3 linked regions of the Astyanax mexicanus genome follow. The protein of the gene in region 1 interacts with the protein of each later gene in a pairwise test. Links are inferred from orthologs where the notes say so. Each region holds a gene or a part of one and is shown on either strand. Other genes may lie near its edges.

What was found.
Region 2: the proteins of uba3 (region 1) and cpne2 interact in binary tests that used the Homo sapiens proteins (3 or more experiments, as listed by UniProt). The two-hybrid records come from large-scale screens. The link is inferred for Astyanax mexicanus from reciprocal best matches to the Homo sapiens genes UBA3 and CPNE2.
Region 3: the proteins of uba3 (region 1) and impa2 interact in binary tests that used the Homo sapiens proteins (3 or more experiments, as listed by UniProt). The two-hybrid records come from large-scale screens. The link is inferred for Astyanax mexicanus from reciprocal best matches to the Homo sapiens genes UBA3 and IMPA2.

Annotation. Positions count from the first base shown.
Region 1 is NC_064420.1:33,208,450-33,216,242, reverse strand, and holds the start of uba3 (NEDD8-activating enzyme E1 catalytic subunit), read right to left. Parts: upstream 3,099-7,793; 5' UTR 3,047-3,098; coding exon 3,027-3,046; intron 2,905-3,026; coding exon 2,866-2,904; exon of another isoform or gene 2,854-2,865; coding exon of another isoform or gene 2,834-2,853; intron 1-2,833. Other genes in the region: acidic mammalian chitinase, read left to right, coding at 5,263-5,287, 5,453-5,482, 5,576-5,780, 6,509-6,565, 6,652-6,817, 7,435-7,559. UniProt on the Homo sapiens protein: Catalytic subunit of the dimeric UBA3-NAE1 E1 enzyme. E1 activates NEDD8 by first adenylating its C-terminal glycine residue with ATP, thereafter linking this residue to the side chain of the catalytic cysteine, yielding a NEDD8-UBA3 thioester and free AMP.
Region 2 is NC_064416.1:22,614,707-22,621,730, reverse strand, and holds the start of cpne2 (copine-2), read right to left. Parts: upstream 3,048-7,024; 5' UTR 2,304-3,047; intron 1-2,303.
Region 3 is NC_064413.1:44,505,908-44,512,957, forward strand, and holds the start of impa2 (inositol monophosphatase 2), read left to right. Parts: upstream 1-3,946; 5' UTR 3,947-4,148; coding exon 4,149-4,214; intron 4,215-6,936; coding exon 6,937-7,050. Other genes in the region: stk17a (serine/threonine-protein kinase 17A), read left to right, coding at 949-1,285. UniProt on the Homo sapiens protein: Phosphatase that can use myo-inositol monophosphates, myo-inositol 1,4-diphosphate, scyllo-inositol-1,4-diphosphate, glucose-1-phosphate, beta-glycerophosphate and 2'-AMP as substrates in vitro.

The sequences.
Region 1 (7,793 bases):
GTACTTAACTAAAACAAACAAACAATAAAATAATCTTTCCAAGATAAAAAAAATCATCAGCCATAACAATAGCACGCCAAACACTAATAAAAATAATATAATAATAAATAAATATCACATATCTGCAGAATATATTAGTAGATTAAACACACAATCAATCTTGAGTTTATTTTTTGGATTTCAGGGGAGCTGAAACTGAAATTATGACTTTTTGCATAAGTGTTTAACCACTTTAAAATTGTTTATCAACATTTTAATTGTGATTCTAACTGTAGATATGTAGCTAGCTTTACAGCTCACAGGTGTATATGGCATACTTTGTTTTTGGTGTGAGTACATGTCCACTGGTGTTACTGTACCCCACACCGCCACATTACTGCACTTATTTTTATTTTAGATATTTTGTTACTTTATCTGATTTATCTCCTTTATATCTATATACATAATTAAAAATTGTGGTCATGATGTTATGATGTGTTTGTTATTTAGTATATTTTTACTGTTGTAATATGTGACTTCCAATCAACCTATTTACACACAGTTTCGCCTGTCACTAGGCCTGTCACAATAATTATCAACTAAATCGTACAACACATGGACATCGCTGCAGTTTTTTTTTGCTGACCTCGATAGATAAAATGTTCACATTTAATTTACATTTTTTAATCATTAAATGTTTAGTGCCCTAAAAAAGGGTGTTAAAGCATTATTATGGACTGATATATGGACATACACAGCACCAGTCAAAAGGTTGTACACACCTTCTCATTCATCTTTTTCTTTATTTTATATTTTTTTGTTGTTTTTAGTTTCTACATTATTGATTAATAAAAAAAAACAAAAATTATGGAACATATATATAATTCGATAAAAAAAAATGTTTGTCCTCCCCAATCCCCTGACCTAAACCCTACTGTAATGGGTAATTTGTGATGAGCTGGAGCTTCACAGCATAAAGAAAGAGATGCAGAAAAAACTCTCAAGTAACTCTACTCATGAAGACACTAAGATTAAAATACCAAGAGTGTGTAAAAATCTGTCATCACAATTAATGTGGCTACTTGGAAAATTGTAAAGTATAAAAAACACATAAAGCTCTGTAAAATAAATAAGAGACCACTTAAAAATGATGAGTTTCTTTGATTTTACCAAATTGAAAACCTCTGGAATATAATCAAGAGGAAGATGGATAAACCAAGGTGAACTGCTTGAATTATTGCACCAGGAGTGGCATAAGGTTATCCAAAAGCAGCGTGTAAGACATGTGGAGGAGAACATGCCAAGATGCATGAAAACTGTGATTAAAAACGAGGGTTATTCCACCAAATAATGATTTTTGAAATCTTTGAAAACTTTATGACTAAGAACTTGTTTTCTTTGCATTATTTGAGGTCTGAGAACTGCATCTTTTTTGTTATTTCAGCCATTTCTCATTTTCTGCAAATAAATGCTGTAAATGACAATATTTTTTATTTGGAATTAAGAATAAATATTGTCCGTAGTTTAAAGAATAAAACCACAATGCTAATTTTACTCAAACTGATTCAGAAACTGAAGTGGTCTCTTCATTTTTTCCAGAGCTGTGTGTATAGCTCTGTATAGCTGTAATGTCTTCAATGATAAATTTACAATGTAAAAAAAAATAGAAACAGAAAGAAAACACAGAGAATGAGAAAATATGGGTCCAAGCTTTTGACAGGTACTGTAACTATAGCAGTGGAACAAAACGGACTTTAAATGACAACAATACCTCAAATACTTTTTGTAATAATTAAGTTTATTGCGCAGAACACTTTGTAATCACCACTTTAGATACAAAGCCACTAGAAACGTTTTGCTCTGCGTATTACAGGAGTCTATAAACAAACACACTCGAAATTAAGATAAAATTCGTAATAAATTCAACACTACACCCTGATTACTGTAGCTTAGCTTAACTAAACCGGTTAGCTAGCTAGCTGCTGTCACTAACAGACAGCTATAGCTAGCTTAGCTTATTTGTTTATGGACTCAGGCGACCAAAACAGGAACGGACATTGATTTATTAAAAGAAATTCTACACATTTCTGCTGACGTTTGGCTACAGTACGGTCTGTGAAAATTCATCACCAATTTAAAGTCCTTAAATGACAGACTCTTCCTCCTCACCGGTGTTCTGTCAAGTTCTACTTCCCTGTCAAACCGTGCTACCCTAGTGTGTATGTTTAACTGTAAACATACAAATTATTAGAACATGCTGCATGCATTAGAAGTGTCTGTATGATCAAATTGCATAGCCTAAATCGCTGTATCAGGATAAAGTTAAGCCAATATATGTGATTAAAAAACATGGTAACTAAAAATAACTAAATTATTACAAAAAAAAACCTAGAGGGGGGTAACCAAGGTCAAGAAAGTAAAAATCCATTTCCCCAGCAGAGCCACCCAGGCAGTTGGTACAAAACACTGGGATGGATGTTTACTTTCTGGACCGGAGTTAATTTTTCCCACTTTTAGGGGAAAAATGAAAACAGTAAAAACAGTTTTGCGCATGCGCAGAGCTGCTAAGTAGCACATATAGACGGGTAGCACAACTTGACGGAACACCGGCCTTGTTTATCTATACTGACAGTCAAACGCGCTAGTTAGCAGTTAGCCGGCTAGCCTAGCGTTAGCTAAGTGGTATCTATGAGTGAAGCAGAGCTCTGAACAGCTCTCGCTCCCTCCCTGTTCCGGTCTCAGGACAGTTTTACACTGTTCCGCTCTCTATTCTCGGTCTGCTCGGCGGAGGGACGCGCTCTGTTTACAGCAGAAAGGATGAATTTTCACTCCCTATGCTGTGCAATACTCAAACCTGCAGCCAGCGCTTAGCATTTCATCACTAACTTCTCAGTCAGCTCCTCTATTCTCCTTCTTTTCTTCTCCCTAAAAAGAGAGAATAAAAGAAGAAGGTTCAAGCACACTCGTATCGCACCACACAGTTATCACAAATCATCACAGCACGACCCCTAAACACAGAAACACGGGCTTCAATCAGCGCTACTTACGGCTCTTCCCCATCCGCCATACTTTATGCCTTCACCGTGCCATGCCTTCCCACAATGCACCGCTCTCGCCCCCAAACTTTATCCTCTCATCCTCCCTCTCTTTCACACTCTCTCTCTATCACTCTCTCTTTCAGACTTCTCTCACTTACACTCTTTCTCTCTCAATTACAATCTTTGTTTCTCTCATTCTCCCTGAGATACAGAAGTTTAATCCCCCTCCTCTCTCTCTATGTGAAATACTGAAGTTTACCTTTCTCTCTATTTCTCTCTCTCTCTCTTTCTCTCTGTGAAATACTAAAGTTTACCTTTCTCTCTATTTCTCTCACTCTCTCTCTCTCTCTCTCTCTCTCTCTGTGAAATACTGAAGTTCACCTCACACTTACCCACTTGCTTTCTCTCTTTCTATCAATGAAACGTTCACACAGTGAGAGCAAATGAATAAAAAAATGAATTAATAAATTATTTAATGAATGAAGATGTTTATCTGTCTATACAGTAAATATACTTCAAGTTTGAGTTCCCTTGGTAAACTTACAGTTGCTATAATTATATACCATTGCACATAAAGTACTCTATAGTGTTCTAAAGTATAATTAATTTGCCATCCAAAATGAGTTGTTGTGTGCGACATTTTAAACAATGATATTAAATAAAAATAAATAAAAAAATATTTACAGTGGGATGTAAACGGTTTGGGCAAACCCTACCATACCACTCATATGATACCACTGTAAAATCATTAAGCACTCACTCGCGGGTTCCCTCTAGCGGTACAGTAATGTTTTTTTTTTTGCAGGCTCTTAAGAAACCCTGCTGAAGGCAGTTCATACAGTACAAATGCTAATCAGGTAATGTCCCTCCCAAATTGGAGAGAAAATTATCTTGAGAAAAAGAAAACCATGTGAAATGGTCAAACTGTTGCTTGTCTGAGTAAATGGTTCTTCGTTATTATGTAAAAACTACCAATACAAACTATCATCAAGTCAAGGAATCTGTTTTTAATATACATATTGGACCTTTTATGACCACTGGTTAAAGATTTTTCTCAGCAGTAAACAGGCTAAATGCGGATTTATTTGAATTTGCCAGCTCACTATCATTATTTCCCATACTTTCCACATTAACTTTCTGATGTGCTGCCAAGGCAACAGTGGATAAAAATATCACAGCTTGCTCTTTCAAATCACCTCTTATCACTGTCTTTGTTTACAGTAACTGCTTCCACAGACTTTACAGAGCGATTCATAGCAGAGGTGACCTTCTTAATGACTTTGGTACAACTAACCACTTAATCACATCATTAATTCATTAGACGAAAACAAATTTAAGAAAAAAATTTAACTGCCCCTTCTTTAGAAAGGCACTATTAATTGCACTATACTAAATTATTATTCAGACATAAACTATTCTGAATTCACCCATTCATCTGTTAATGTCGATAAAACACAATCAGAAACATTACCTTTTCATTTTCAGTGCAAAATATTAGGTTTAATTCCTAAAATATCTTAATATTTGCTAAAAAAAATGCATTGCTGTATGCTATTTTTACAGACAGTCAAACATTTATATTTATACATGTATTAGCACACATTTTTCTTGTTTTTTTGTTTAAAAGAAGATCCATAATAAATCCATACCTATGCTCAAATGCTCCGATAAGTCAGCATTAAAACCAAACCAGAGAAATACAGAAGTTTTTAAATGTATTGACATTTCTGAATTTAGAGGGCTGCCACTTTTGTGCCCTTAAACCTCACTGCTCCCTGCATGAGTGCCACAGCAGTGGCTGCCCACAGCTCCTGACATTTGTGCTCACTGTCTGCGTGTGTGTGTGTCTTCTGAGTTTAATATCTAGTGTTTATGTGTGTTCACTGTACGCATAGGATAAGGCCAAATAAGCAAAACAATCATTTTAATTTCATTTTGTAGAATCATCCATTTGGACTATTTAAACATCACAAAGACCACTTTACCCTAAATAAAAGAAAATAAAAAATATGGGTCAGATTCATTGGGGTTAATCAGTACATACAAAAGTACATACATTAGGACTAAACAGGAATATGTTCTTATGTAACTGTGAACATTAAAAGATTTGGTAATCTTAAGTAATGAATCACAATCTACTGCAAATATTTCCCTCCTACCGGTAACAAGGTATGAAAGGCCCCGGGCCAACTAAATGATGTATAAAAGAGCAGAGCCTGTGCATTACTCCTTGTACGAGGCAATAATGGGGAAGGTAGTCTTGGTTTCAGGTAAGTGGCTTTGATATTATTAAGAGTTTCAATAAAAAGAATAAAAAGTGTTTTTCCTTTAAGCCATAAACAATACGTGTTTGAAAAAACTTCACAAGATGACTTGTTTAACGAAATAAAGATCACAATCTTGCATTTTTCTTTCTTTCTCTTATCTGAATCCAGCGCTGGCCCTGCTGCTGCATATGCAGCTTGGTAAGTACTTGGCTATATTGCTGTGGTTTCAGATTTTACTCAGAAGCTAATACACACAACCAACTGATTTATGTATTTTGTTGCTTTGGACAGGCTCTGCCTACATCTTATCATGCTACTTCACCAACTGGGCACAGTATCGCCCACCTCCTACCATCTACATGCCCAATGACATCGACCCATGCCTGTGTACCCATCTCCTCTACGCCTTCGCCACCATGACCAGCAGCTACCAGATTGCCACTTATGAATGGAATGATGTGGAGCTCTACAGCCAGTTCAATGCCCTGAAGGACAAGTGAGTGTGGAGAATATGATGAGCTGCTAGTATGGAACTCAGAAGTGTTTACCAGAAGTAAATTGCAGGTGTTAACTACAGTTTACCGTTTATAGCCAATTAAACCTGGAATGCAACACTTTGTTTACTTAATTATAAAGAATATTGTCAAATCATTTATAACAACATACAATATTTAACATAGACACTAACATGTTCAAACTTGTACGACAGGAGATATCGTAAAGAACGTCCCATCGATGTGGCACCCTGTATCTGTCTTTGTTCGAACCAGTGTTCAACCATACTCATAAGAAAACACCTCACAACTTTTACAGGTGTGGGCATTCCCAAGTTGTCCCCTAAAATAACACTTCATGAACAACGTATATACTGCTATCCCATGACTTTTGATACTTGAGCTAAAGCTGAACAGAATGAGAACAATCATTTAAAGCTACAACAAAAATGTAATGTTATATGTAAAAGGACTGAGTCTGTTATTAATTATAAAAAGCAATGCTTAGTAAATATTAACAGTAAATAAAGTATGCTTGGTTTATATAATACATTTTAAACCATGTAGAGGCTTAATCAGTCTTACCTCTCAGAGTTCCATTTTAAGGTAATAAATGAATAGTAAAACCAGGGTTCAAGAGGCTAAATCCTTACCAATAGATCCATGCAAATTGCTGCCTTAAGCCAAGCACTGATTTTTTTTTATCTCTCTCTCTTTCTCATCTCTGCAGGAATGGTGATCTGAAAACTCTGCTGTCAGTTGGTGGATGGAACTTTGGTTCCTCAGGGTAAGAACCTAATTTAATTTTAGCATGGGCAGAGCACTCAGAATATCAATGTGTCAACTTCATTTCCCTCTCATCACTCCGGCTAGATTCTCTAACATGGTGGCCTCCTCCACCAACCGCCAGACCTTCATCACTTCTGTCATTGCCTTTCTGAGGAAGTATGAGTTCGATGGGTTGGACATTGACTGGGAGTATCCAGCCAACAGAGGAAGCCCACCTCAAGATCAGCAACTGTACTCTGTTCTGCTGGAGGTGTGTCAGATGTATCTGATTTTATTTACCTTAATTTAAGCATTATGTCCCAAAGAAATCAGTAACTGCGTTTATGTACACTTAAAGATTATATTACTGCAGAACAATAGGGTATTGCAGTAATGTTTCCATGAACTTAACTCAATTAGATAATGGGAAAACTCATAGTCAGATTTTTATTTAGCAAATAGCCAATTATCTCAGCTAAAATCCAGCTTTATAATATTTCTTTAACTGATTTTCAGTCCTTCTAAATTTCAGTCCAATCTAAACAAAAATGGAGTGTGCTTTAATAATCAAATAACTACAGAAATCTGTTTCTAATCATAACAACTGCTTTATAACAAAGAGTAATTAGTAAGTAGTCTTATTACATTGAATGAAAGTGAAAGTGCACCATATTTTAAACTGAAATCTCTGTTTTAAAAATGGAATAGTATTTGTGAACAGCAGTTATTAAGAATTTGCTGCTATTAAAGTATTAAATGACTGTGCTTATTATTGTAAATTGTAATGTGTTTATGTGTCGTGTAATAATAATATAATATTTAGAATCTCTTGTATATATGGGCTCATTTCTGTAACATCTGTACATTTCTGTTTGTGGTGGTGAACAGGAGATGAGGGCTGCTTTTGAGGCAGAGGCCAAGCAGACCAACAGAGCTCGACTCCTGATGTCTGCTGCTGTTTCCTCAGGCAGAGGCACCGTTGAGACTGCCTATCAAATCCCTCAGCTTGGACAGTGAGTCAATTCTTGTCCCCTAGTCTCATCATTGTCAAATACTTCACCCAGTGAAGAGAACAGTTTTATAAATAGCCTAAACTGAAATGCCAGTGCCTTCATATTTTATGTCTCTAGTGGTGAACAAAAAAATACTAGGGAAGAGAATTATGGAATAAACAAATGCTTAGAAGATACACTGTCATTTCTTATACATTTTTTACAAAATAATTGCTTTAGCTATACTTATAATTT
Region 2 (7,024 bases), on another chromosome or scaffold:
GAATAGCCTTAATGTATTTTTGTCTTGTTTTCTTTTTTAAAGAAAGCATTATTGCTTTGATTGTTTTTTCACGATAATACATCCAAACATTGAAAGTCATTTTTAGTGTTTGGATATGCCATTTTCATACAAATAATTTCAGGTGCTGTGTGCATTCCTAAATTTAAGACAAGTCAGTTTGGGTTTAATACAATATCTATATGCAGTACTGTACCACCAATAGGTTACATCTCTTAATTTTTAAGAGGGTCTCTCACATGTCACCTTATGTGACAATATTTAGATGCGTTTTCGCTAATTTGTACAATGTGTACAACTACATTGCACACATACACATATATATTCATTTATGCCAGTCCAATCTAGTAGAACTGAAAATGGTCAAATCAAATCGATTATATTCAAACACCATGTGGACCTTTGACTATTTGACTATTAGACCCCATTGCTAATAACACCTTCTCACCTCCTTTGTAATAACAGTTATTTTAACCCCCACCAATAGGACCACTTGATTTTTAAAGCACACTGCACTTGAAGCCCTCTTTAGGATGTTTGGATTATTTTTAGTCCAACTGTGAAGATGGAGCAGCCGAAAGGCATGAACTGTCTTATGCACAGCTGAAAATATTCGAAGTGGAAAAGACTATTTAGCACTTGAGGCAATTCTTTGTCTCCAGTATTGTTGTGTTTATGCTGCACATCCTTCACACAGACCCCAAAAGACCACTAACCACTAAACCACATGAGCAAAGCATAGCAGGCTGCTGAGGGGCAGAGCTGCAAGTGGACATAAATAGGTCAGTGTGGCAGAGGTTGGAGTTTGGGAAAAAACAACGTATAGTACCTAGAATAGGACTAGGAGGTAAATCAAATCAATTTAATGCACTGAATTATTGTTTCTTATTTTTAAAAATGAGATAATAGAGACTGTACATCTTCACATAGAAATTTGCTTTTATGTGGCAGTGATTTTCAAATGTTACACTTTTCTTTAACTGAAATACAAGCATGTTATGTTTGCACTGTGTTCAATAGGGGGCTGCTTACTATTTATCATGAATGATAATGAAAAAAAAGATAACAAACATGGTTAAAATAAATGTAAAGAAAACACCACATTGTATATCACTTTAAATGGTGCTGTTTGTTTACAAACTAAAAAACCAAAGATATGTAAGAACTAAAAATCTAAATCATAATCGCTCATATGTTTGAAGAATAATGAGATTAAATGTACAATATTACAGAGCCCTAACTTATATTACTTACACTATGTAAGTATAGTGTAATGAGAACCACTGCTTTATCATGGTTATTCTATTCAAAAGTGGTCTAACTGCACAAGGCAATGACTAAAAACAAATATAGCATATATTAAGAATATAAACAGCTACATACAGGTTACTTCTTGACACAGTCTAGCACATATACATATTTTTATTACTTATGATGAACCACTTAATTGCCTCATTGTATTGGACATTTAGTTTGATGCCTCAGAGCAAAACTACAGCTCTGGAAAAAAATAGGAGACCACTAATCATGATTAAGAACCTTTGGAATATAATCAAGAGGAAGATGGGTGATCACCAACCAATCTGAAGTTATCCAAAAGCAGTGTGCAAGACTGGTGGAGGAGAACATGCCAAGATGCCTGAAAACTGTTATCAGGGTTATTCCACCAAATATTGATTTCTGAACTCTTACATTTTTTTTTAAATATGAACTTGTTTTTTGCATTATCTTGCATTTGTATTATCTGAGGTCTGAAAGCTCTGCATCTTTTTTATTTCACCCATTTTTCATTTTCTGCAAATAAATGCTCTAAATGACAATGTTCTTATTTGGAATTTGGGAGAAATGTTGTCTGTAGTTGTGTAGTTTATAGAATATAACAACAATGTTCATTTTACTTAAACATATACCTATAAAAAGCAAAATCAGCGGAACTGATTCAGAAACTAAAGTGGACTCTTTATTTTTTCCAGAGCTGTAGTTATTCAATAAAGAGCTAAGAGAAGACTGCATGATAGATAATGTTACATAGCTAGGTAACTTAGCTAAAATATAATAAACAGCGGCTTGTTTCTGTTTTTCAGTTTCTATAAAAACAAGCTTGTCAGACTGAAAGGACCACTTTTCTATTTCTGGTCTGTTTTCATTGACTATTTTGAGTAGGAACGACCAAGAATAACAATAAACAAACGAAGCCATACTAGGTAAACTAACTGTTGAACCCATTAACGTTATATTTAACAGATTTGTAGTCTTCTCTGTTACTTCAGAAACCCACCACTCACCTCTCAAAAGCGGTGGCTCAGGCTTTTCTTCGCGTGGCTACTTTTTTCTGGAGCGTCAGTTCCGCAGCAGCGCTTCTCCGCGGAGCCGCTGTGTGTGAGTTCGGGCTGTGGGTCCGGAGCGGACCGAGGCGGTGACACGTTGCTCTGCTGCTGCTGCTGCTGGCAGGCGGGCGGGTCACTCCAGCAGCCAGCAGTGAGGCTGAGGCTGGGCGGGCTCCCTGTGAACCATGGCAGTCTCCACCCGCAGCTTACACACACTCACACACACACTGACAGAGACTCACTCAGAGCACACTCTCTCTCACACACAAACACACGCCACCCCACAGTATAGTTTAGTTAACAAGGCTCCTAACAGCTCCGTCCGGTGTTCTGTCGATTTCTGCTGCCCTGTCAAACCGTGCTATCCCGTGTGTATTTCATATCTTGTTAAGTATCCCGTTTTGGTCTACCACATTTAACCCCTCTTTCCCGCCGTCCTCCCGTATTAGCATTTCCTGTAAATTTCTTGTATTACATTATAATTAAAATAAAAAACATTCCTGTGCCTCTCACAACTGGAATGTCACTAATGACGGATGGATGGATGCAAACAGAGAAAGGGCATTTCTGCTAAAAAAAAACATCATACTATGATGATACATACTCATACATACTATGTACATATGTATAATATTATACATACGCCTTCTGACTGCAGAAAATACTATTGATCACAACATCAATCCAAAACTTGACAGGTATGGTGTATTTAATATTTAATTGTAAAAAAAATCCTGAAAAAGCACTTTATTTAATAACCCTGAATCAAAAATCAGAATACAGTTAAAAGGGAATAGGCGAGATTATATCTTGTAATTTTTGCTCGATTATTATTATTATTATTATTATTATTATTATTATTATTATTATTATTATTATTAATGCCATTTACACTTAGATAAAATCTAATAATGACATAATGACAGAGGAGGGGTTAAGGATGTTAAATATGCACCCAGGTAAAATTTAGTAGAACTACCACAAAACACATGGAACTATAAAATAAATGTGGGCATGCGCACTGGTATTAAGAAGCACATTTTGATGGGTAGCACAACTCGACACAACACATCACTGCTGCCGAAGCTGAGCCCAGGCAGGCAGACACAGCCCCCGGTCACACTAGACCAGAGCGGAGTGGACCATCTGCAGATTTATCACTAAAGAACCTGTTTTTTATGGTGTGTACGCGTTTGGTTAAAGAGAAAAGAACAACCAAGATAAAATACATGGTGTTGAAACCACCTGTTGTTCACCAACACAATTATTCACTGCAGGTGAACAATGCTCCTCTATAAAAGTAAACATTAGCTACTTAGAGTTAACTAACCTAGTAAACATGACCGCTACAGGTAAGGTCAGCTAGTATGACGCTACAATTGTATCGTTATTAACTCGATTAGTAAAGTCAGACCTCAGAATTCAACAACAGGTTTCACCTCATTCTAATTAATATCAACACTCAAGTCTATGATTTAATAATTACTTTGACGCACAGAAGGACAACAAACAACAACGTATCGATACAATTATTCAACACAATAATGTAAAACTAAAAAGACGTAATTTTAAAAATATAAATAAATGTACAGTACACGTTCTCACGCGCCTCTGCTGCCACCTTGCGGGCAATTATTCATTACTGGACAATCAGCTGCTGTAAAGAATCTGTACACGTGTTATGTGTGTTTACCACTGTATTATACTGTATATGGTGTGTACATGCAATTTTCACTCAACCCAAAATAGCCACAGACCTTTTAAAAGTCTGTGTGAAGTTCCCTAAAGCGCACTGTCCTTCATTTAAACTCATGAAGCCCCTGTTGGTGTATCACTAGTGATAGGGGAAGTCCTAATGAGTGAGTTGGATAACTGGCCGGGTTAATTGGGGTGAAAATGGGAAGAAACCTTGAAATTTATATATATATATATATATATATATATATATATATATATATATATATATATATATATATATATATATATATATATATATATAAATATATCAACTCAAACTCATGAAGCCCCTAAGTAGCACACACTGAACATTATTATTTCTAGAATGTAGATGTGCTGTGTTAATGCTTCAGATCACACTTCATCTATTTAAAAGTGTATTTTAGCCTCAACAGCTCTGTTTTAAGCATTTTCCCAAAATCTTCAATTTAATGTTTTACAATCCACATAACTACTATATATAAAACAAAATGGTAAACTAGAAGGTATGAAATTGTTGTACTTATGTTTAACCATTGTTGTTACATCAAGAGTTTAACTTAAAATATTAACATATTAATTTGAAGAATTACTTTAAGATTTTCAATCAATATTAAGAACTGGGTTTGGGCTCTTAAAAACACAGGCTATAAAATATCTGAAAATGTTAATAGCTGAATACTACCCAGCCAAAAAAATAGCCTGATCACCTCATGTTGACCAAATTTAGTTCTTCACCAGAATAGTAGCGTTTTAATTTTAGTTTGATGGTTTAGGTGGTCTACAAGCATGGACAACCTGACCAAGCTAGACCACCAGTATGACCAGCATGTTGGTTGGCCAGCTCATCCATGATGGTGGACCAGCATCACTACCCTGAAAAAAGTGATATTCGTTAAATACAGGTGCTGGTCAACGAATTAGAATAATTTGAAATAGTGCAATCATGAAATTCTTTGAATGCATTTTTTGTGCAGAAAGCAAATCAGGTGTTCACTGCACCTGTCCTACTCGTTAGACTAATCACAGAACTCGTTACCTGGAAAAAAATTTGCTCAGCTGAGCTTTCCAAAAGGCCCATTTAGGCCATTTAACTGTGACACTGTTGTTTTATTGAATTAGAATAATGGAGAAACCGTTTCATTGAATTAGAATAAATGCTCGAATTTTTGTTTTCTGTGAAGAGTGTTCACTGTGCAGTATAAAGTCAGGGTTGAGTAGAATTTCTAAGTTGTAAAATCAATCATGGGTAAGCAGCGCGACCTCTCAACCGGAATAGTGGCTCAAATTCAAGCCCTTCGCCAACAAGGCTTGACCCAAACTAAAATTGCTGAGCAGCTCGGCATCAGCCAGTCTTCCGTCTGCAAAGCTCTCAAGAAAAACTGCAGCAAGCGCACCAACTGTTCCGGCGTCCGAAAAACTTCTGCTCACGACAACAAGCAGCTGAGAAAGATTGCAGTCAGCAACCGGTTCAAGTCCACTTCCGAGCTCACCGACTTGTGGAACAAGCAGACCGGCGCTGACGTCTCCAGATCAACCACTTACCGTCTTCTGCGCGAACTCGGCTTCAAATCTCGCGTTCCAGCAGTAAAACCGATGCTGAACAAGAAACAAATGGAGAAACTGCTGAAGTGGGCCAAAGAACACGGCGAGTGGACTGCTGAAGACTGGCAGAAAGTGGTCTTCAGTGACGAATCACGCTTCTGCATCTCCTTCGGTGACCAAGGTCCTCGTGTCTGGCGTCGTGGTGGCGAAACCTACAACCACGAGTGCGTGAAAAGATCCGTCAAGTTTCCCCAGAGCGTTATGGTCTGGGGATGCATGTCCGCTCGAGGTGTAGGGAAACTCTGCTTCCTCAAGAAGACTGTCAATGCTGCCGTATATCAAGATGTTCTGGAAACGTTCCTGATTCCGACTGTTGAGGAACAGTTCGGCGAAGAAGACTTCATATTTCAACAGGATCTTGCACCGGCTCATGCGGCAAAGTCGACCAAAGATTGGTTCACTAAAAAACAGCTTGAAGTTTTGGCATGGCCGGCCAACTCGCCTGACCTCAATGTCATTGAAAACCTTTGGGCCATCGTCAAGCGGAAAATTCGCGACAGAAAGCCTACTACGCTGGACCAACTGAAGCAGAACATCGCCACTGCCTGGGAAGCTGTGAGTGCGGAAACTTGCGACAAGCTGGTCAAATCGATGCCGCGGAGACTTCAAGCAGTCATACAAGCCAAGGGGGCAGCCACAAAATACTGAGAAAGTGATGATTGTAATTATAATAAAAATTATTCTTATTCAATGAAACGGTTTCTCCATTATTCTAATTCAATAAAACAACAGTGTCACAGTTAAATGGCCTAAATGGGCCTTTTGGAAAGCTCAGCTGAGCAAATTTTTTTCCAGGTAACGAGTTCTGTGATTAGTCTAAGGAGTAGGACAGGTGCGGTGAACACCTGATTTGCTTTCTGCACAAAAAAATGCATTCAAAGAATTTCATGATTGCACTATTTCAAATTATTCTAATTCGTTGACCAGCACCTGTATATTATTATATTTGTATCAGTTATCCAGTTTATATAATTATGTACAAGTAAAGAGAATCAGAACCAGTGTATGTAAAATAATGTAATCAAAGAACAGAATTTTTGTCTCTCAGTATTTTATTACATTATTAAAAAATGTGTTTCATGCAGCCAGCTCACATTACAATTCATAAAAATCATGCAAAACAACGGCCTATCAAAGTTATTTTATTTATATTAACTCCATGGAATAGAGCTTACATGTCTTTTTAGCAAGGGGACATTTTTTTAATGTGACCAACTGAGTAAACAAATGTGCTGATGTATTACTCTGTTTTTGTTACAGTGCAAAAAATATAGGAATGTGATGCTATGCTATGTAACTAATGGGAACTGTTTACCTGTTAATACATCAAAAATAAAACACTCAATAAATAGATTTTG
Region 3 (7,050 bases), on another chromosome or scaffold:
TTGTACCAGGAATACATCAAAGAATAAGGCATTTCTGCCCACAGTGGACAAAGCAGACTCTTCCATAAACACATCCACATTCCATGCATAAGTACCAATCTCTAAGTTGACATCATGTTAAAAAAAATAAATAAATAAATAAATATATAAATTATGCGTGGCCACAACTTATTTAGGCATAGGAACAAGATCCTAATTTGTTCGAACGAGATAATTATGGCATGTGAATGAGATAAATAAGTAATGGCCACGATTTATTATGGCACGGGAATGAGAATTTAAATGTGGCCAGAGAATAATAAAGCTTGCTTTTCTGTAAATTAATATCCATGAAGAAAACTGAATATTACATCAAAGCTCCAATCCAAGGATAATCTTTTGTAAGAAAATGGAGAGTGAACTGGTTTCTTTTTATTTTCGTCTCTAAATGAATTATGGTGATATTTTGGAGTCTCTTGCAGTGAGACATGGCATATTTTTAAGTAAAAATCACTTTATTCGCACTCTAAAAGCTGACAGGCTCAGATGCAGACAGCGTGCAGGCCCGTTTTACTTCCAGGCAGTCATATTGTTATCTCGTTCCCACGCATTAGGATCTCGTTCCCACACCTTAATTTTCTCATTCCCATGCCTTAGTAATTTGTGGCCATGCATTATTTTATTTTAACATAATGTCACCTTAGGGGCTCCATACATGAGGTCTAACTGTGTCTTAGACCGGCTCCTGAAGTGTATCTGTTATGAATGTGTGTTCAGTGTGCTTAGTATGCATTTTTATGTAATTTGGCATGATAACATTGTAGTCCTGATACTTAGGATGTCTTTCTCCAAGTGGCTTAAGTTATACAAGGCCTATGCCACAGTAACTGTACAGTTTTTAACAGATGTCTGCAGACAGCACAAGTGTACCGGTATGTGTAATTCTTTAATAATTCTTTGTTTGCACAGGGGCCGTGCCACTGCTGAGGAGTGCCTGAAACACCAGTGGCTTCAGACACAGGAGAAAAATTCTGTGGAGGAGCCAGCGATGCAGAAAAGTGCCTCCACCTCAGTCTCAGAGCCAGCCAGCCCAGAGATCTCCTCCCAGCAGAGAACAGAAGAGGAGGAGGAGGATGGAAGAGTGACGGAGGAGCTCATTGTGATGGCCGCTTATACTCTGGGTCAGTGTCGGCAGTCCTCAGACAAGGAGAGTCTGACCCCGGACCAGAAGGCCATCTCCAAGCGATTCAAATTCGAAGAGCCCTTCCCTGCCCTCCAGGAAGTGCCCGGAGAATTCATCTACTGAACCACGTGTTGGCCATCCAGCCGCTAAGCTCCAACTAACGCCCGCACTTCAGACGAGAACGTCTTTTCCTTTCTACTTTAACCCACCTCATTGTTTGACCCTGTAAGCCAAAATGTGTATTCTTTGTTTGTTTATTTTATTATTATTTTATATCTAATGTTTGTGCTGCTTCACTCATACACAGTTCTGTAACTGAAGACTAAGCCTTGCTGTGGTACTCTGGTTCTTCTCCCCATTTTCCCTTTTGCTTTTTTCCTTTTGGTGCCATGCTTGCAATTGTATGAAAATGTGGGCCATGAACTGAATCTCATCTCATTTATCTTTCCCTCTGTTTTTTTTGTTGCATTTCCTATATTTTCATCTTTGGTTACAACTTTTGTAAACATAAATATTGTTGTTTGTGCAGGGGGAGGGTGGGGCTAAAGAAATTATATGTAAATGGAATAAATTTTAAGAGTTGTGTCTATACTTTTTAAAAGCCATTTATGTGTTTGCAGCTCGTCCAGTGTGATTGTGATTGTCAGGCCAACCCTTTTTATAAAAAGCCCTTTAGTTATGATTGTAAATTGATGATAGGTCAGAGTATATCTTTTAAATGATGACACATTTGAAAGTTAACTGTCCTGATATTGTAAATAAAGTTCCTCTCCAAGCTGTCTGTGGATGTTAATTGGGAACACTGGGAAAACCAAATGCAGGACCTACATGGACCAGGCCACCTGTCTCCAATAGAATAAAGCAAAGCAGGCAATCATATTAGATTATTCTTTATGGCTAATAGGTGGAATTAAGCCTTCATATCTAAATGCCACCTTAGAACCCACCTCTTCCTCAGTTCTTGACCATCCAAGTTGTCAATCCAATCCAGTGATTTTCTGGACCCCTAAGCAGTCTTTTATTTAGGCCATGGCTGTGTCCCAAACAAGACATTGTAGTGCTCACTTCTCATACAAATTTTACCAGCCAGCATGAAGCTCCGTTTAACTCAGCATTATAAAAGTCACATCACAGGGCATACTTTACCAGATGCCCAAGAGGTGGCAGTGTTGATGCTTTAAATTTCTAATCAAAATAAACTTACTCTGTACTTGAATTGTAGAACAAATGTATTCTTACCTATTTTTAAAAATATATATATAAATACTTATTCACCTATATAAAAAAACTGATTTTTCCCAACCGAAGAATTGTATGATTTTCACAATAACCTGTATGTAATGTGCTTCTTAGTTTAAAACTACAGTGAGGTCCGTAGTGCTGGAGAAATACTGCCCCTGTGTGGACATTATTACTCGATACAACACTGATCTTTAGCCACAGTCCTTCAAAATGTGCTTCATGGTTTTATATAAACGAAAGGGAGCAACATTTATTTCCCAGCTTATTTCATGCTAGCTGAGATTTTCTTTCTTCATTTTTTTATCAATTTATTTTATGATTAAATATTTCAAGAATTCTTTAAATACTTTCTTTTAAAATTAGTACAATTTACACAAAAAACGACCTGTTCATCCAAGAGTGATATAAAATAAAGTAACATAATGATATATATATATCATTATGTATATATCATCATATTATATATATATAATATGATTATATATATATATATATCATCAAATTATATATATATATATAATATATATATATATTTGTGCTTTAAATTGTTACGTTAGCAGTGGGTGGGGTGAAACACTTATTTAGTACTTGCAACATGGTTATGGCTATTATAATAATAATTATTATTATTATTGTTTGTATTAATATTATAAACTAATTACTTACCTAGTACATTGGAAGCAAAGTAGACAGCTTATTTTTAAACCACCGAAAAAAATCCATATTGTGATAACAGCAGTATTATTTTTTCTTCAAAGCATTCTATTCTGTTTTGCGTTTGTTTTGCTATTTTTTGTAAAGTTCTAAGGGTATCTTAACAGGAGCCGAAAAGGTAAAGTAAGGAATTTCCTTTGTTGTTGTTTTTAATCTAGAGGTTTATTCATAGCCAAAATGTAGCAAAACCCACATATAAAAATATATATAATAAATTAAAAATTCAATTAAATATAAATAACTGTGTTTAACTGTTCTTTATAAAAAAATATATATTGTTATATATTCTGTAATATTATATAATATAATCACAAGCTGTCCTCAGACCTCAAAGTAAACATACATACAGCTCTGGAAAAAAAATCCACTTCATTTTCTGAATCAGTTTCTCTGATTATGTTTGACTAAAATGAACATTGTTGTTTTATTCTATAAACTACAGACAACATTTCTTCCAAATTCAAAATAAAAATATCGTCATCTAATGTCATATTGTCATTGATTTGCAGAAGGTTTAAGATTTAAGAAATCAATATTCGGTGGAATAACCCTGTATTTTTAATCACAGTTTTCATGTATCTTGGCATGTTCTCCTCCACCAGTCTAACACACTGCTTTTGGATAGCGGTTCAGCTTGATTTGATGGCTTGTGTTCATTCATCTTCCTCCTGATTATATTCCAGAGGTTTTCAATTTGGTAAAATCAGAGAAACTGATCATTTTAAAGTGGTATCCTATTTCCAGAGCTGTTATGTAGGATTTGTGGGGTGTGGGCCCTTTAAATGTCACTGTGAGGATCAGCTCTGGATCTAAATGTGCCGCTCGGACAGATCTGACAGCCTGCGCGCGCAGGTCAGGCCGCCCGGACAGCGGCAGCAGCAGCGGGCTACATCCACCCATGTCGGAGCTTTCCGCCCGGAGACTCTCACTGCGGATCCGGGAAGCCAGACACCAGCGACGGCTTACCATGAGCAGCCCGCGCGGTCTGCGCTGAGCCTTCCCCCGCTCTCCTCCACTGAGACCCGGGAGCATGGAGGCGGAGAGCTGGGCCGAGTGTCTGGAGCTGGCCGTGCGGATCGCTCGCTCTGCGGGGCAGGTATGAGTGAGTGTGGGAGTGATGGCGGGGGAGCTCAGCTGCGTTAGCCGGGCTGTGTGCACTGTTAGCCGCGGAGAGTGGAGAGGCCAGCGGGGTTAGTGATGTGGGTGTAAACACGCTGTCAGTGATTAGGCTGCTGAAGTGGAGCGTTAGTAATTCAGTGAAGTCAGTTTATCTTTCACAGAGTTAATAATACAATAAAACATACGGATATATATATAGAGAGAGAGCACATAAACATTACGAGTTTATTTGGTTTTACCTAAACCTCTGGAATATAATCAAGAGGAAGATGATTACTTTTTGCAATTTATGCATCAGGAGTGGCATAAAGTTATCCAAAAGCAGTGTGTAAGACTGGTGGAGGAGAACATGCCAAGATGTATGAAAACTGTTATTACAAAACCAGGGTTATTCCACCAAATATTGATTTCTGAACTCTTTTTTGTTATTTTGACCATTTCTAATTTTCTGCAAATAAATACTCTAAATGACAATATTTCTTATTTAGAATTTGGTAGAAATGTTGTCAGTAGTTTGTCAATGTTCATTTGACTCAAACATATACCTATAAATAGCAAAATCAGAGAAACTGATTCAGAAACTAAAGTGATCTCTTAATTTTCTCCAGAGCTGTATACTAGTGCATCTAAAGATCTAATATCTAATATCATTGAAAAGTTACTTTATTTCAGTGATTTGGTTTAAAATGTGAAATTCATTTATTATATAGATGTATTACACACAGAGTAATCTATTTTTTAAGTGTTTAAGTGTATTTCTTTTAATGTTGATGATTATCGCTTAAAGCCAATGAAACCCCAATCCAACTGGTACTTTTGGCAGTGTGGGCAGTGTGTCAAGGCCTGCTGGAAAATGAAATCCACATTGCTATAAAAGTTGTCAGTAGAGGGAAAAATGGAATTCTGTAAGATTTTCCAGGAAAACACTGCACTGACTTTAGACTTGATAAAACACAGTGGACCAGCACCAGCAGATGACTGGTGTTGATGATTCTCCAAACCATCACTGACCATCAATCAATACATTTTGCATTTCATTTGTAAATCAAGAGACCAGAGTCTGGAGGAAGAGTGTAGAGACACACAGTCCAAGCTGCTTGAGGTCTAGTGTGAAGTTTCAACAATCAGTGATGGTTTGGAGAGACATGTCATCTGCTGGTGTTGATCCACTGTGTTATAACCTGGAACAGAAAAGTGCTTCTTCTTCCCTCAGTGTTCTGTGTGGTTCTGGTATTTAAGCAGTGTATTATAAGAAGTGTAAAGTGTTACAGTGGGCTGCTGCTCGAGATAAGTCTGCATTACTGACCTTTTCCGTGTGGCTAGCCTACTGATATAAATAAAACTGATAAATCACACACAGTACACACACAGTAAAGTGCCTACGAATGTGCCAGTAAAACTTGGGCACCCTTCAAATATAACAATGATACAAATATACTCTTTACACTTAATAATCAACCAGGTACCTAAGCACCTAAGCTACCCACCCGGGATACCATAGTAACTTCCGAGCAGTTACATTGCCACACTAAACCACCCACCTAGTGTTTTTTGAACTCCATAGCAACCATCTGGGATACCATAACAACAACGTAGTAACTAGTAAACAACACTATAGCAACCACTTGCTACACCATGGGAATCACTTAGTAATTACTTTACAACATCATAGAAACAACCTGGGATACCTTAGCAACCACCTAGTAACAACTAAAAAACACTATAGCAACCAACTGGTTTACCATAGGAATCACTTAGCAACACCATATAATCACCTAGGATAACATAACAACCACGTAGTAACTACTAAACCTACTAAATAACACTATAGCAGCCATCTGGTTTACCGTAGGGATCACTTAGCAATCACTTAACAACACCGAAGAAACCACATGGGATACCTTATCAATCCCCCAGTAAATACTAAACTACATAGTAGCAACTCCTTAGGACAAAAACAGACAATTTAGTGACATGATAGCAAGACCATAGAAGCAGCTTTGGATACCATAGTAACCATTCATGAATACACTTAATTCCAAAATAAACTACTGATATTTCTACAAACCTATATGTCAAATTTATTATTCTGTTTAAATTACTTCAAGTTCTTCTATTGCTCGATAATTCGCTCTGAAACCACTCATTTACTTTTTGGGTGGGACACAGGATCAATATTGTATATTAATATGTATCTCACCCCACAATTTGAGTTACTAATGTTACTGCTTCATTACTCTAAGTGGTGGCACTAATCAAGTGAATAGGTGAACCTGTGATGAATGTTAATTGTGAAATTTTGTGTGAAACGGACACAGATAAATCCATAGTTCCTGGTATTTTATTTATTAGGAGTATATTTTCCTCTTCAGTAACACAGATTGGTGAATTGTCTTGTGATATAATCAATCAAGTAACGTGATATAATCATTGTCATGGGCAAAGTGTCATGATAATATCTTATCGTGTGATGCCCTAAGATTCTCTACTTTTGATCTAGTTAGTATTCAGTAGTATTTAGATTTGGGCCCTGAATTAATAATGTGCTTCTCTCTCTCTCTCTCTCTCTCTCTCTCTCTCTCTCTCTCTCTCTCTCTCTCTCTCTCTCTCTCTCTCTCTCTCTCTCTCTCTCTCTCTCTCTCTCTCTCTCTCTGTCTCTCTCTCTCTCTCTCTGTCTCTCTGTCTCTCTCTTTCATTAGATGGTTCAGGAAGCTGTGAAACAGGAGAAGAGAGTGAGCAGTAAGAGCACACCCACAGACCTGGTGACGGAGGCTGACCAGCAGGTGGAGGACCTCATCATCTCCACCCTCAGG